3 linked regions of the Canis lupus familiaris genome follow. The protein of the gene in region 1 interacts with the protein of each later gene in a biochemical or structural test. Links are inferred from orthologs where the notes say so. Each region holds a gene or a part of one and is shown in the gene's direction. Other genes may lie near its edges. The genes, in order: CCNE1, CDC25A and ARIH1.

Evidence for each region.
Region 2: the proteins of CCNE1 (region 1) and CDC25A form a complex in vitro, tested with the Homo sapiens proteins (2 studies listed by BioGRID). The link is inferred for Canis lupus familiaris from reciprocal best matches to the Homo sapiens genes CCNE1 and CDC25A.
Region 3: of the proteins of CCNE1 (region 1) and ARIH1, one has a biochemical effect on the other in vitro, tested with the Homo sapiens proteins (3 studies listed by BioGRID). The link is inferred for Canis lupus familiaris from reciprocal best matches to the Homo sapiens genes CCNE1 and ARIH1.

What each region holds. Positions count from the first base shown.
Region 1 is NC_049222.1:122,576,657-122,580,994, reverse strand, and holds the start of CCNE1 (G1/S-specific cyclin-E1), read left to right. Parts: upstream 1-1,449; 5' UTR 1,450-1,522; intron 1,523-2,656; exon of another isoform or gene 2,657-2,673; intron 2,674-2,996; 5' UTR 2,997-3,029; coding exon 3,030-3,052; intron 3,053-3,140; coding exon 3,141-3,228; intron 3,229-3,435; coding exon 3,436-3,504; intron 3,505-4,338. UniProt on the Homo sapiens protein: Essential for the control of the cell cycle at the G1/S (start) transition.
Region 2 is NC_049241.1:41,252,377-41,255,992, forward strand, and holds the end of CDC25A (M-phase inducer phosphatase 1), read left to right. Parts: intron 1-258; coding exon 259-389; intron 390-2,545; coding exon 2,546-2,657; intron 2,658-2,883; coding exon 2,884-3,024; downstream 3,025-3,616. UniProt on the Homo sapiens protein: Tyrosine protein phosphatase which functions as a dosage-dependent inducer of mitotic progression. Directly dephosphorylates CDK1 and stimulates its kinase activity. Also dephosphorylates CDK2 in complex with cyclin-E, in vitro.
Region 3 is NC_049251.1:36,458,427-36,462,072, forward strand, and holds part of ARIH1 (E3 ubiquitin-protein ligase ARIH1), read left to right. Parts: intron 1-592; coding exon 593-699; intron 700-2,760; coding exon 2,761-2,803; intron 2,804-3,329; coding exon 3,330-3,401; intron 3,402-3,646. UniProt on the Homo sapiens protein: E3 ubiquitin-protein ligase, which catalyzes ubiquitination of target proteins together with ubiquitin-conjugating enzyme E2 UBE2L3.

The sequences.
Region 1 (4,338 bases):
ATTATTTTTATTTTTGAAATGAACATACACTCAGGAAGGTACATAAATCCTAAATGTAGAGCTCGATGAATTTTTACATACGCAACCACGCATTCAGATCAAAGCAGAACACATGGGAAGTGCCCAGGAGGTTCCCTCGGTCCCCTCCCGGTTATTAACCCCACCCCAGGAGTAACTGCTGGTTTCACACTGTCGCTATAGTTCTGCCTTTTCTGAGACTTCAAATAAATGGAATCACACAGTAATACTTTTCTGTGTCTGGCTTCTCGTGCTCACGGTTACGTCTGTGAGATTTCTTTCTTTTTTTTTTTTTTTTTTTTGTGAGATTTCTTCATGTTGCTGAATGCCCCAGTGGTCTGTCCTTTTTACTGCTGTGCAGTATTCCACTGAATGAATATACCACATTTCTGTGTCGACCATATTGTTGATGAGCGCGTCAGCTAGGAAAAAGAACATCTGGAACTCTCATTCTCGCTAGTGGGACAGTAAGTTGCTACCATCACTAAGGAAAAGTCTGTGTCTATCATCGATAACAATGATATATATTGATATCTGTAATACTAACATATGTTGTATTTATCATTGTCCTATATCTCTCATTTACTAAGCACTGAGTGTGCACCAAGCCCTGTAAGCTGTGTTACCCCAATCCTCATAATCACCCTAAGAAGTAGATAGTTGCCTTCTTTGAAATAGCAGTATGGTAGCAGCAACATGATGGGATTATCATGAAGTTGAACACTCTGACGGACTGAGTCCAAAGCTGACGTTTTGGAAATGCTGTTCGTGGTACCTCTTATTGTTATTACTGAAGGACACCGGGCCAGGAGCTCAGGAGCCTGCATTCATGTCTCCCTGAGATAACCTGAGTGAGTCATCTCAGCAGCCTTCAGCTCCAGGCCCCTGGAAGGCCGACATCTGCTAGCAGGGACTTCCGGGGATGACACAGGGCACACTCTTCAATCAGACCCAGGCTCTCACTTCAAGAAGATCCTTATGCTTGGGGGGGGGGGGGGGGGGGGGGGGCGGAACAGTGCATCAGGAAGGGTCTTGGGAGTGTTTGGGAGCCCTCTGCGACATGGGGACCTGCGACATGGGGACCTGCCGCTTCTGCCAAGTTTAGTTCACAAGGTACTTTCAGGTGATGGTCTCGTTGTCCTGGAAGGTCCACAAGGACTTGGCGGCTGTATGCTTCTCAACAACTCACCCACAGAGATGAGCAAGTGTCTCCCTCCCCCACCCGCACCCCCACCCGCACCCGCACCCCGGGACTCTGCCAAGAGCTGGGGGCTGCAGCCCGGAACTCCCGGGAGGGAGAGGGACAGCGAGCGACCAGGGAAACCCAGGAGCACGAGGCTTCTGGCGGCAAGTTGGGTGAAGGACACACAGCGGGGCAGGAGGTGGAGAGGAAGTGCGGGGGGCGGGGTGCTCCAGACTCCGTGTTCACCGGAGACCCTGAAGTTCTAGGGAGGGAAGAGCAGCCCCGAGGGCGAGTGCGCAGCGCAGGGCAGCTCCCGCCGAGGTGAGGGAGGACGTGGGGGAGGACGTGGGGCAGCGGCTGCGAGGGCACCGGGTGGGGCGGGGGTCCGCGGGCGACGGAGCTCCAGGGGAGCCCTGCAGCCCGGCCCGGGAGCCCGACGGGAGCCACCGGGAGGGCTTTCAGCCAGAGGGGCGGCCCGGGCCCCGAGGCCCCAGCCGCGGAGGTGGCGGGAGGGGCCCACGGGGGAGGCGCCGGGAGGTCAGCTCAACGAGTGGCTGCAGGGCGAATGCGCGCTCGGAAGGGCGGGCGGGCGCGCGCAGGGCAGCCGGCGCCCCACGGACGCCCCGGACCCGCGGCTGCCGGCCCAGGTCGTAGGCCCGCGACCAGGCGCGGTGACCTTGGGCACAGGCCCGCCCCGGCTCCCGGCCCGGAACCCTGCGTCTCGGGGGCGGGGAGGACGTGCCGGGAGGGGCAGCGCGCGCGGCGGGGCGACGGCCGGCGGGACCCCCGCTCCCCGCTCCCCGCCAGCCCCCGCGGCCCGGCCCGCACCCTGCCGCGCGCCGTGTTTACATCCCCGCGGGCCGGCCACGCGGCCTCCCGCCGCCCCCGCCGCCCCCCGAGCCCCGGCCCCGGCCCCGGCCCCGCCCCCCGCCGCGCGCGCGCCAGCCGGCCTCCCGCGTCCCGCGCCGCGCCGCACCTCGCGCCGCGCAGGCCCCGTGGCTTGGCCCCGCCCCGCAGGCCCCGCCCCGCCCCGCAGGCCCCGCCCCGGCCCTCCGGCGCGCAGGCCCAGTCCGCTGGCCCCGCCCTGCAGGCCCCTGCCCCCGCAGGCCCCGCCCCCGCAGGCCCCGCCCCCCCGTCCGTAGCGCCTCTGCCCGTCTGCGCGCGTCGGCGGCCTGCAGGCGGCTTCGGGGCCGGGCCCGGGCACTGGGGCGCGGCCGCTGGAGGGCCCTCGGACCGACCGGGGCGGGGCGGAGGCTGGGCGGGAGGGTGCGAGGGCGGGCCGGGGGCCGGTTTCCGGCGCGCAGGGATTTTTAATGTCGCCGCTCTCGGCCGGGCGCGGAGCAGCCGGATCGGCGCCCGCGCGGTGTAGGGGGCAGCGCGGATCCCGCCCCGCCGCGCGCTCGTCGCCGCTCCCGCCTCCCGCCTCCCGCGCCGCCTCCCGCCGCCCGCCGCCCGCCTGCGGACAGGGCTCGGTGATGGCCGGGCCGTGCTCCGGGGCTCCGTGGGGGGGGGGCGAGCCGGGCCAGGGCGCGGCGGGGTCGCGGGGTGGCTCCGGGCCGGGCCGGGGGGCGGCGGGGCGGGGGGCGGCGGGGCCCCGGGCGCGCGGCGGACCCGGCGCGGCGGGTGACAGGCCCCCCGGGCCCATCGGCCATTTTCCCGGCCGGCCCGAGCCTCCCGCCGCCGCCGCCGCCGCCCGCGCGGGGGGAGGGGTGTCCGGGGCGCGCGGCCGGCCCTGCCCCCCCCCGCGCCCGCGCCCCCGCCCGCGCCCTGACCCCCGCCCGGCTTGTGCCCCCAGGGCCCGAGGTCGGCCCCGCGTGCCGCGCCAGCCATGCCGAGGGAGAGGAGGGAGAGGTGAGTGCCCCGTGGCTGCGCGGCGGGGGGAGGGGAGCCCAGGCTGCCAGCGCCCGCCCTGACCTCGGTGCCACCCGGCGGCCCGCAGGGATGCGCAGGACCGGGACCCCATGAAGGACGACGCTGGCACCGACGTGTCCGTGCGCTCCAGGAAGAGGAAGGCAAATGTGGCCGTTGTGAGTACAAAGGAGACAGGTGGGGGAGGAGACCCCCTCCCGGGCCTTACCTGGCGGGGCTCCCCCCCCCACCCCGGGGGCCCTGCCTCCTTGTACTGATTGGGGTGCCCGCAGCCTAACCACCTTTCTCTCTCTCCTCTCTCTGTGTTTTTTGTCTTTGGGCCGTCTGGTGTGTTTCCTTGGGGGCTGGGGGTCGCCCTCCCTTAGTTTTTGCAGGATCCGGATGAAGAAGTTGCAAAAATTGACAGGACTGCGAGAGGCCAGTGCGGCGGACAGGTAGGTTCACGTGCCCACCGGGCCTGGGCGGAGGGCCTGCTGCGCCTTGTGCTTTAGATGGACGCTCGGTCCCCGCTGCCTCCTGCTGGAGCCGTTCCTCTACCGGGGGCCATGGTGCTCATCCATGGGCCGAGGCCTGGCCGGTCGGTGGCATTGGCCTCGGCCAGCCGTGGGACCCCAGGAAGGCGTTGGGTTCCTCACCCGCACCTCCGAGGTTACAGATAACGCGCTGATGTCCCGAAGAACCAGAGTGGACATCAAATAACTCAGTCCTCTCCTTTTGCCCTTGAGGAAACTCAGACTCAGGGCAAGAAAGTGACCCAGAGTCCTGTGCAAGCCAAGGGCGGAGTCCATCCCGGAGCCCTGTCTCCAGGCGGGGGAACTGGGGGAGGGCTCCTGACACAGAGCTCTCCTGCGACTGTGATGCGGGGGTTTGTGTGTGTCCATAGCGACCCAGATTCTCCCCGTCCCCGCTTCTGTCTTTCGGTCCTGGTGCTAAGGACCTCCCTTCCCCCCACCACACGGTGAGCAGCAGGTATGTAACTTCCCCCCTTCTGGAGGTCCTCAGCCTGTCCTGCAGTTACCTACGGTGATGAGGACTGCCGTCCGGGGCTCTGCCTGGCCTCAGCCAGAGTATCAGTGGAACATTCTCTGTCACGATACCTGTGTCTCAACACATTTTTTAAATTGACTAGTCCATTTCTCTTGTCTCTCCGTCATGGAGTTGCCGCCAAATTTCCTGCGTGCTCGTGATATCGTTACAATATCAGCAGTTCCTAGCAGAAAAACCTTGCGTTATCTTCCTACCTCCAGAAATGGCTGGAGACTGTAGTT
Region 2 (3,616 bases), on another chromosome or scaffold:
AAAAAAGTAATTGGTTGTGCCAACTTCATCTTTTAACCAATAAAATAGTGTTGAAATACAATAAAAGGGTACATTAAATACAACATTAGCATTTGCCAGTGTCTTAGTAGCTTTCAAAAGTTCCGAATTCATAAATACCACTCCTGTCTGCCATAGTCATAACAGAATATGAGGTGCCCAATTATAGGTGACTCTCACAGAAGAATCATTGGCAAGTATGTTATGCCCAGGTTCCAAGAGTCTCTGGTGCCTTCACAGGGTGCAGTGAACTTGCACATGGAAGAGGAGGTTGAGGACTTCTTACTAAAGAAGCCCATTGTACCTACCGATGGCAAGCGTGTCATTGTCGTGTTCCACTGCGAGTTCTCTTCTGAGCGAGGCCCTCGCATGTGAGTACTGCATGAAACTGGGCTCTGCGGCTCAGGCCTGCGTTGACTGGTGGGATGTGGCAATGGATGGCTCACCCTCAGGGCGTACTTCAGTATACCGAGCAAGCACCCTCTCCCACATCCTGAATCATTTCCATGCCTTAGCCTGCGCACATGACTTGTAAATGTTCACTTTTGTGAAATTTCAAATTCATGTGTAGCAGATGTGTGCCCAAATCCTTATCTATTAAGCAGTCAATTTGATGAACAGCTTCCTTGAGTATGGCTTTTTATAGGCTTGACCTATCAGTTTCTGTGGCCAAGGGCTTTAGGCCTTCTCCAGCCCAGCCCTGTCTCTGGCTAGTATGGTAGGTGCTGGGAGTACAGAGGGCCAGCTGGAGACGGGGGTGAGGGCTGAGGCAGGGTGGAATGCAGCCTTGATTGGGGTAGGACAAGGTAGACTTTTCATGGGCCCCTAGGCCTGGATCCTTGTGCACTTTTCATTTTGAACCAGTTCTAAAGTCAGGCCACACGGGGGCGCCTGGGTGGCTCAGTCTATTAAGTGTCAGACTATGCTAAAATTGTGAGATGGAACCCTATGTGGGCTCCATGCTCAGCGGGGAGTCTGCCTGAGATTATTTCCCTCCCTCGGCTGCCCCTCCTCCCTGCTCGCACATGCTCTTGCTCAAACATAATCTTTTTTTTTTTTAATTTAATTTATTTATTTAATTTTATTTTATTTTATTTATTTTTTTTATTTATGAGAGACAGAGAGGCAGAGAGAGAAGCAGGCTCCCTGCAGGAAGCCCGATGTGGGACTCAATCTGGGGACTCTGGGATCACGTCCTGAGCTGAAGGCAAATGCTCAACCACTGAGCTACCCAGGCGTCCCTCAAATATAATCTTTTTTTTCTTTAAGAAAAGAAAAAGGCCATTTGCCCACATGTGCTTCACCTGACTTCATCAGCAGCTTCTGTTTTGCTGCATTAGCACACATAGAATTACACACATAACTACAACAGGAACTTGTCTCCCCACCAACCTCCTGAGGACAAGGACTTGTCCTACATTAAGCACAAAACTGTGATCACATGAAGGGGTAGGATTTGGGTGAGGACTAACGTTCACTCACTCTACAGGTACTTCCCATTGCCTCTCACATGCGAAATAGTGTTCTGATTACTGTGGAGAACAGCAAAATGTAGGAGAACAAAAAGCCCTGCCTTCACGGAGCTTGCATTTCATACTGGGCAGGAGCAGACAAATATAATAAATAATATGTTAACTACTCTGTGTTAGAAGGTATTTCAGAGACAAATAAGATGAGAGGTGGGTGCTCCCAGGAAGTTTGGAGGAGCAGCAAGGGGGCCAGAGTGGCTGGAGTAAAGGCTGATGGGGGAGGAGGCAGGGGCAGGGTACCCAGTTGGGGGCCACTGTAAGGATTTTGGCTTTTGTACCAAGGGTTGGTAGGTAAGAAGCCACTGCCAGGTGAGGGTATTAGTGAGAGTATTTAGTATTCCATGCAGGAGTACAAGTAGGTGCCTTGAGGCAGGAGCAAGCTCGGCTGGGTGGCTGGCTGGCTGGCTTGTTTATTTATTTATTTAAATTTTTGATTTATTCATGAGAGACACACAAAGGCAGAGGCAGAAGCAGGCTCCCTATTAGGAGCCCGCTGAGGTACTTGATCCCAGGACCTTGGGATCATGCCCTGAGCCAAAGGCAGACACTCAACCACTGAGCCACCCAGGCATCCCAAGCTCTGCCTATTTAAAAGCCACAGGAAGAAAGCAGCTGGCTTAGTTAGGAAGTGAGGGAGGGACCCTAGTGGTGAGGAGCTGGAGGGTGTGGTGAGCGGAGATTGCAATGGGGAGCCGTCACTCCACATGAGGTGTGGGTGGTAGCATAGAGGACCTTGGGCAGGGGCCAGACAGTAGGGCCATTGAACCTGGAGGAAGGACAGCTTGGGAGAGACCATCCATCTCCCTATGAACTCTTCCTAAAGACCACATGTGGCCTGGGACCCACAGCTCAATGCTGGTTTCTAAGAATGACTGGGAAAGTGAGAAGTTGTGTGTCAGGAGTATTCGCTCGGCACTGCTGTGCTCACCGTACCGTTAGTTCGGGTTGCCCCAAGTTAGGAGAGCTAACCTTGCTCTGGCCTGCCTCCTCGCTGCTAGGTGCCGGTACGTGAGAGAGAGAGATCGGCTTGGTAACGAGTATCCCAAACTCCACTACCCGGAGCTGTATGTCCTGAAGGGCGGGTACAAGGAGTTCTTCCTGAAATGCCAGGTGAGGCAAGGTCTCTGGAGAGCACGGTGCACCCCTCACCCAGGCTGGATGGGCAGATCCGTGTGCTTGTCGTGGCTGTCTCTTGTTCGGGGTCTGGGGATTTGCCTCACACAAAGAAGGGTCCTAGGCCCTGCTGCGCATCCCAGCCTCGCAGGCCCAGATGGGGGGAGAGCCGGCTTAGGAGCGTGAGGCATGGGCCCCTCATCTCATCCTCTGTCGTCTGCAGTCTCACTGCGAGCCTCCCAGCTACCGGCCCATGCACCATGAGGACTTCAAAGAAGACCTGAAGAAGTTCCGCACCAAGAGCCGGACCTGGGCAGGGGAAAAGAGCAAAAGGGAGATGTACAGCCGTCTGAAGAAGCTGTGAGGGTGGCCATGCCAGACAGCAGCAGCCTGAGCTGCCCTCTGTGCCTCCCCCCTTCCCTCTTGGCTGCAGAGAAACCTGAGCAAAGGGACCAGCCACGGGCGTGACATGTGGAGAGAGGACCCGGGGCTTGTGCGCCTGACCCCTACTGCTGCACTTGCGGGGCTGGAACATCCTGCCGGCCACGCCTCTTCTGTCTCTGTAAGACCTTCTCCTTCTGCCTTGTGACTGTCTGCCAGGGCTGTCGCCTGCCACAGTGCAGTTCTGGGTACCACTTCAAGAAGTTCTGACTTACCACCACCACCACCACCGTCGGACAGACCACCTGGGGCCTTCCTGGGTGCTGTTCTCTGGGGGGTGGTGGGGGGGAGAGAAGTCCACGAGCAGAGATGCTGCTGGCCAAATACCAAAGACAGCCTGGGAAGGGAATGGTCTTTGTGGGATAACCCATATCTTTAATTTATTCAACTTCATCAATCACTTTAATTTTTTTTTTTTTTTTAAACTCCTGGAGACTTTTATTTAACTGCTTCTTTAAGTCATAATACTGCCATTCTGGGTAGGGTTTTATCATCCCAGGGACTACCTCTGCTTT
Region 3 (3,646 bases), on another chromosome or scaffold:
ATTCTATAGCATCTAAACACCTTCCCTAAGTAGCAGTGTATCTTGATTTCTCACATCTTTGAAAATTGCCCTGAAGAACCATAAACAAATTGATACTTTTTAATGATCACAAATGGGTAATTATTTTAAAGCTTGTCATTAGGATTTTGAAGGTAGAACCAAGACACGGTTCGTGTACTTATAAAACCAGATTTTCAAGGTATCTGTAATCTTGGAAAAACTGCATCTAAAAGCATTACTTGGCAGCACGGATGGCTCAGTGGTTTAGAGCTGCCTTCAGCCCAGGGCATGATCCTGGAAACGAAGGATCGAGTTCCACATCAGGCTCCCTGCATGGAGCCTGCTTCTCCCTCTGCCTGTGTCTCTGCCTCCCCCACCCCCACCCCTGTCTCTATGGATAAATAAATAAAATTAAAATAAAAGCATTACTTTAGAAGACTACTAAATATTGGGGACAGTCTTTTATATGCTTGTGTCTCTGTCTTTGGCCCTTACACTGGGGAAGCAATGTAAATAATTGCTTATTGTAGTAGGAAATATTGCATCATGATATAATTTGCTGTCGGTATTTATTTTCTAATTTGGGTTTCAGTGCAATCGACTGTTAAAGTGGTGTCCTGCCCCAGATTGCCACCATGTTGTTAAAGTCCAATATCCTGATGCTAAACCTGTTCGCTGCAAATGTGGGCGCCAGTTTTGGTAAGCATGTGATTTCCTAAATTGAAATAGTACATAGAAGAATGCAGCTATAATCACATTTTCTTGTGTGCTCCGTTGGAACTAATATGGGAGCAAACTTACAGATACGGGACAAGAGTTTAGTTCTCATTTCTGATGGAGTGCTTATTTTATTATGTTTAGTTCCTCTATGGCTCTTGCTCTGTTTTCAAGTTATCTCTTAGGAAACAAAATACAGAGGATTATTTTTCCTTTGTTCTGAAAAGTTTAATCTTACTCCTAGAAGGAAAATGTGTGGATAAATTTGTAAAGATAGAACATGGTTGATTAGATATACTTTTCAACCAATATTTTCCCTGTGGCTTTACTGGCCCAGCTTTCCTGGTGACCTCCATTGTGGAGTTTATAACATACTCTTCAGTCTTTGAATTCTAGATTTGACTTAATAGAGAATTTCTAGTACTAGAGAATTTCCAGTACCACGTATTTGTATTAGTTAAAATGATTTTCCATTTTCCCTGTGGATCTTTCAGGAATGAGAAACCAATCAAACCAAGTAGCTCTAAGAACTAGCAAACAGACATATTGGTATTTCATATCATTCTTTTTTTCCTCCACAAGCAACTGTAGAATTAGACTTACACATCATTAATACTAAATATTTCCAAAAAGGAGCAGATAACCTTACAGAGATGAAATATGTGTGAAATACATGCTATTTTGGTAAAGATTAAATATACATTACTATTTTAGAGTTTATCCTATGGACAGGAGGTAAAGTCTGATTCTGTATCTACTTTAAAACATTTTTGTATGAAATACCTTGATACAGACCAAAATATAGAAAATAACAGCAGTGAATACTTATATAGCTACAAACCCACCCAGCTAAGACAATGTTAGTATCTTGTTTTCGTTAAGAAATAAAACATGACACATTCATTTGAAGCTCCTTTGTTCCCTTTTCCATCCCACTCCCTATCTTCTTTTCCAGAAGTAACCATTATCCTTGACTTCACTTAATTTGATAGTACTTTGTTCCCCCCATTATCCTTGACTTCACTTGATAGTACTTTGTTCCCCTCATTTGCAAAGGATTTTTGCCATTCTTGAATTACTTAGCTAATCAGCCATTCAGCAATTATTTTTTTCATAAACATTTGTATTTATTCTTAATTTATACTTTCTTAAATGTATATAGCATGCTTCTAGAATACAGAAAGGAATTAACAATTAATATATTCTTAGGAAATATTTAGTCACACTCTTGTTTTATACCTTGCTTGGTACAATTTATAGGACTGAGGTTAATTTGTTTGGATCATGCAAATGTGACCTGTTTGCTTCTCAAATATTGCTCACTGTGCATTAGCATTAAATTACGTAATTACAAAGTCAGACCTTTTCTCTTCATTTGGGGTGTTAAATAAGAGATTTAATATATTCTAATAAAGCATTGATTGAAATTTAAGTTCAAATTAGTGAAAATTATTTGGTTTCAATTAATGAATGTTTACAGCACAAAACTATACATATGTAAAATGATCAGAAAAATACAGATCTGGGGATCCCTGGGTGGTGCAGCGGTTTAGCGCCTGCCTTTGGCCCAGGGCGCGATCCTGGAGACCGGGGATCGAATCCCACGTCAGGCTCCCTGCGTGGAGCCTGCTTCTCCCTCTGCCTATGTCTCTGCCTCTCTCTCTCTCTCTCTCTCTCTCTCTCTCTGTGACTATCATGAATAAATAAATAAAATCTTAAAAAAAAATACAGATCTGATTAAACTGAATTTTTTGTCTTTACAGTTTGGTGGCTATTTAGAGAGTCTTTATAAAATTATCATCATAGCATGTCTTCATGCCTATAATCATTTCTTCATTTCACACAGACACACAACGATAATGGTATCCTAACACTAAATTCTAAATAATCTGTGGTGGAATAATAAAAACTTGACTCCTGCCCTTGTATTTGCCAGTCACTAGAAACTATGAAACCACTGAGAAACTATAAAACATGAAATGATTTGTTTACTACGTACAGTAGGTAGGACTTAATTCTTTTAACTCTTGTGTTACTTAACAGCTTTAACTGTGGAGAAAATTGGCACGATCCTGTTAAATGTAAGGTGAGTTTATCTGGCATTTTCTTTTTTAAATAACGTAATAAAACACTTCTGAGACTTGATGACTGAAAACCAGGGCCCACAGTTTTGTTATCCACTTGTAGATAGAAGATTGTGTTTTTCCTTTTTATTTCAGATGATCATCTGAATTTTTGAAATTTTTGAAATTTCATTCCATAGGAATAAGTCCGATCCTAATGATTATCAGGATAACAGTGGTTAAGGAACCTCTCTGGGCAGGCTTTGTAATTAGCTCAGGGGAAATGGCACATCTTGGAGCTCTGGGTTCCCACTTGGCTCCAGAGAAAGTCTTCCTTTGGTTGATTTTATATATACTGGATATGAGAACTATAGGGTTCCCTTGGTTTATAAGGAAGTAAATCCAGTGATAATCTTGTCCTTTGCCTTTTACATTTAAGCTTGACTGTATTTAAATGTTGAAGTAATTTACTATCCTTATGTTGAAGTAATTTACTATCCTTTTTCTTAAGTCTTTTGTTGTACCCTAACAGTTGTTGTTTTCAAACAGTGGTTAAAGAAGTGGATTAAAAAGTGTGATGATGATAGTGAAACCTCTAATTGGATTGCAGCCAACACAAAGGTTGGTATTTTCCTTCAGTAAACTCTTTCCTTTTTTAGGGAAACTGTGATAAGAATAGGTGCATCAGCATTAGCAAAACAAGTAAGCTTACATAGTTTAGGACTTTGTTTTACCTTTACCTCAGTTAACATTTGGGGGGTTTTGGGTTGTTTGGGGAGTTTGGAGTTTTCTTTGTTTTGCTCCCCCTGAATGCCTTTTTTTTATTTTTTTTATTTTTTAGTGTTCAAGTTTATTTTATTGAGCAC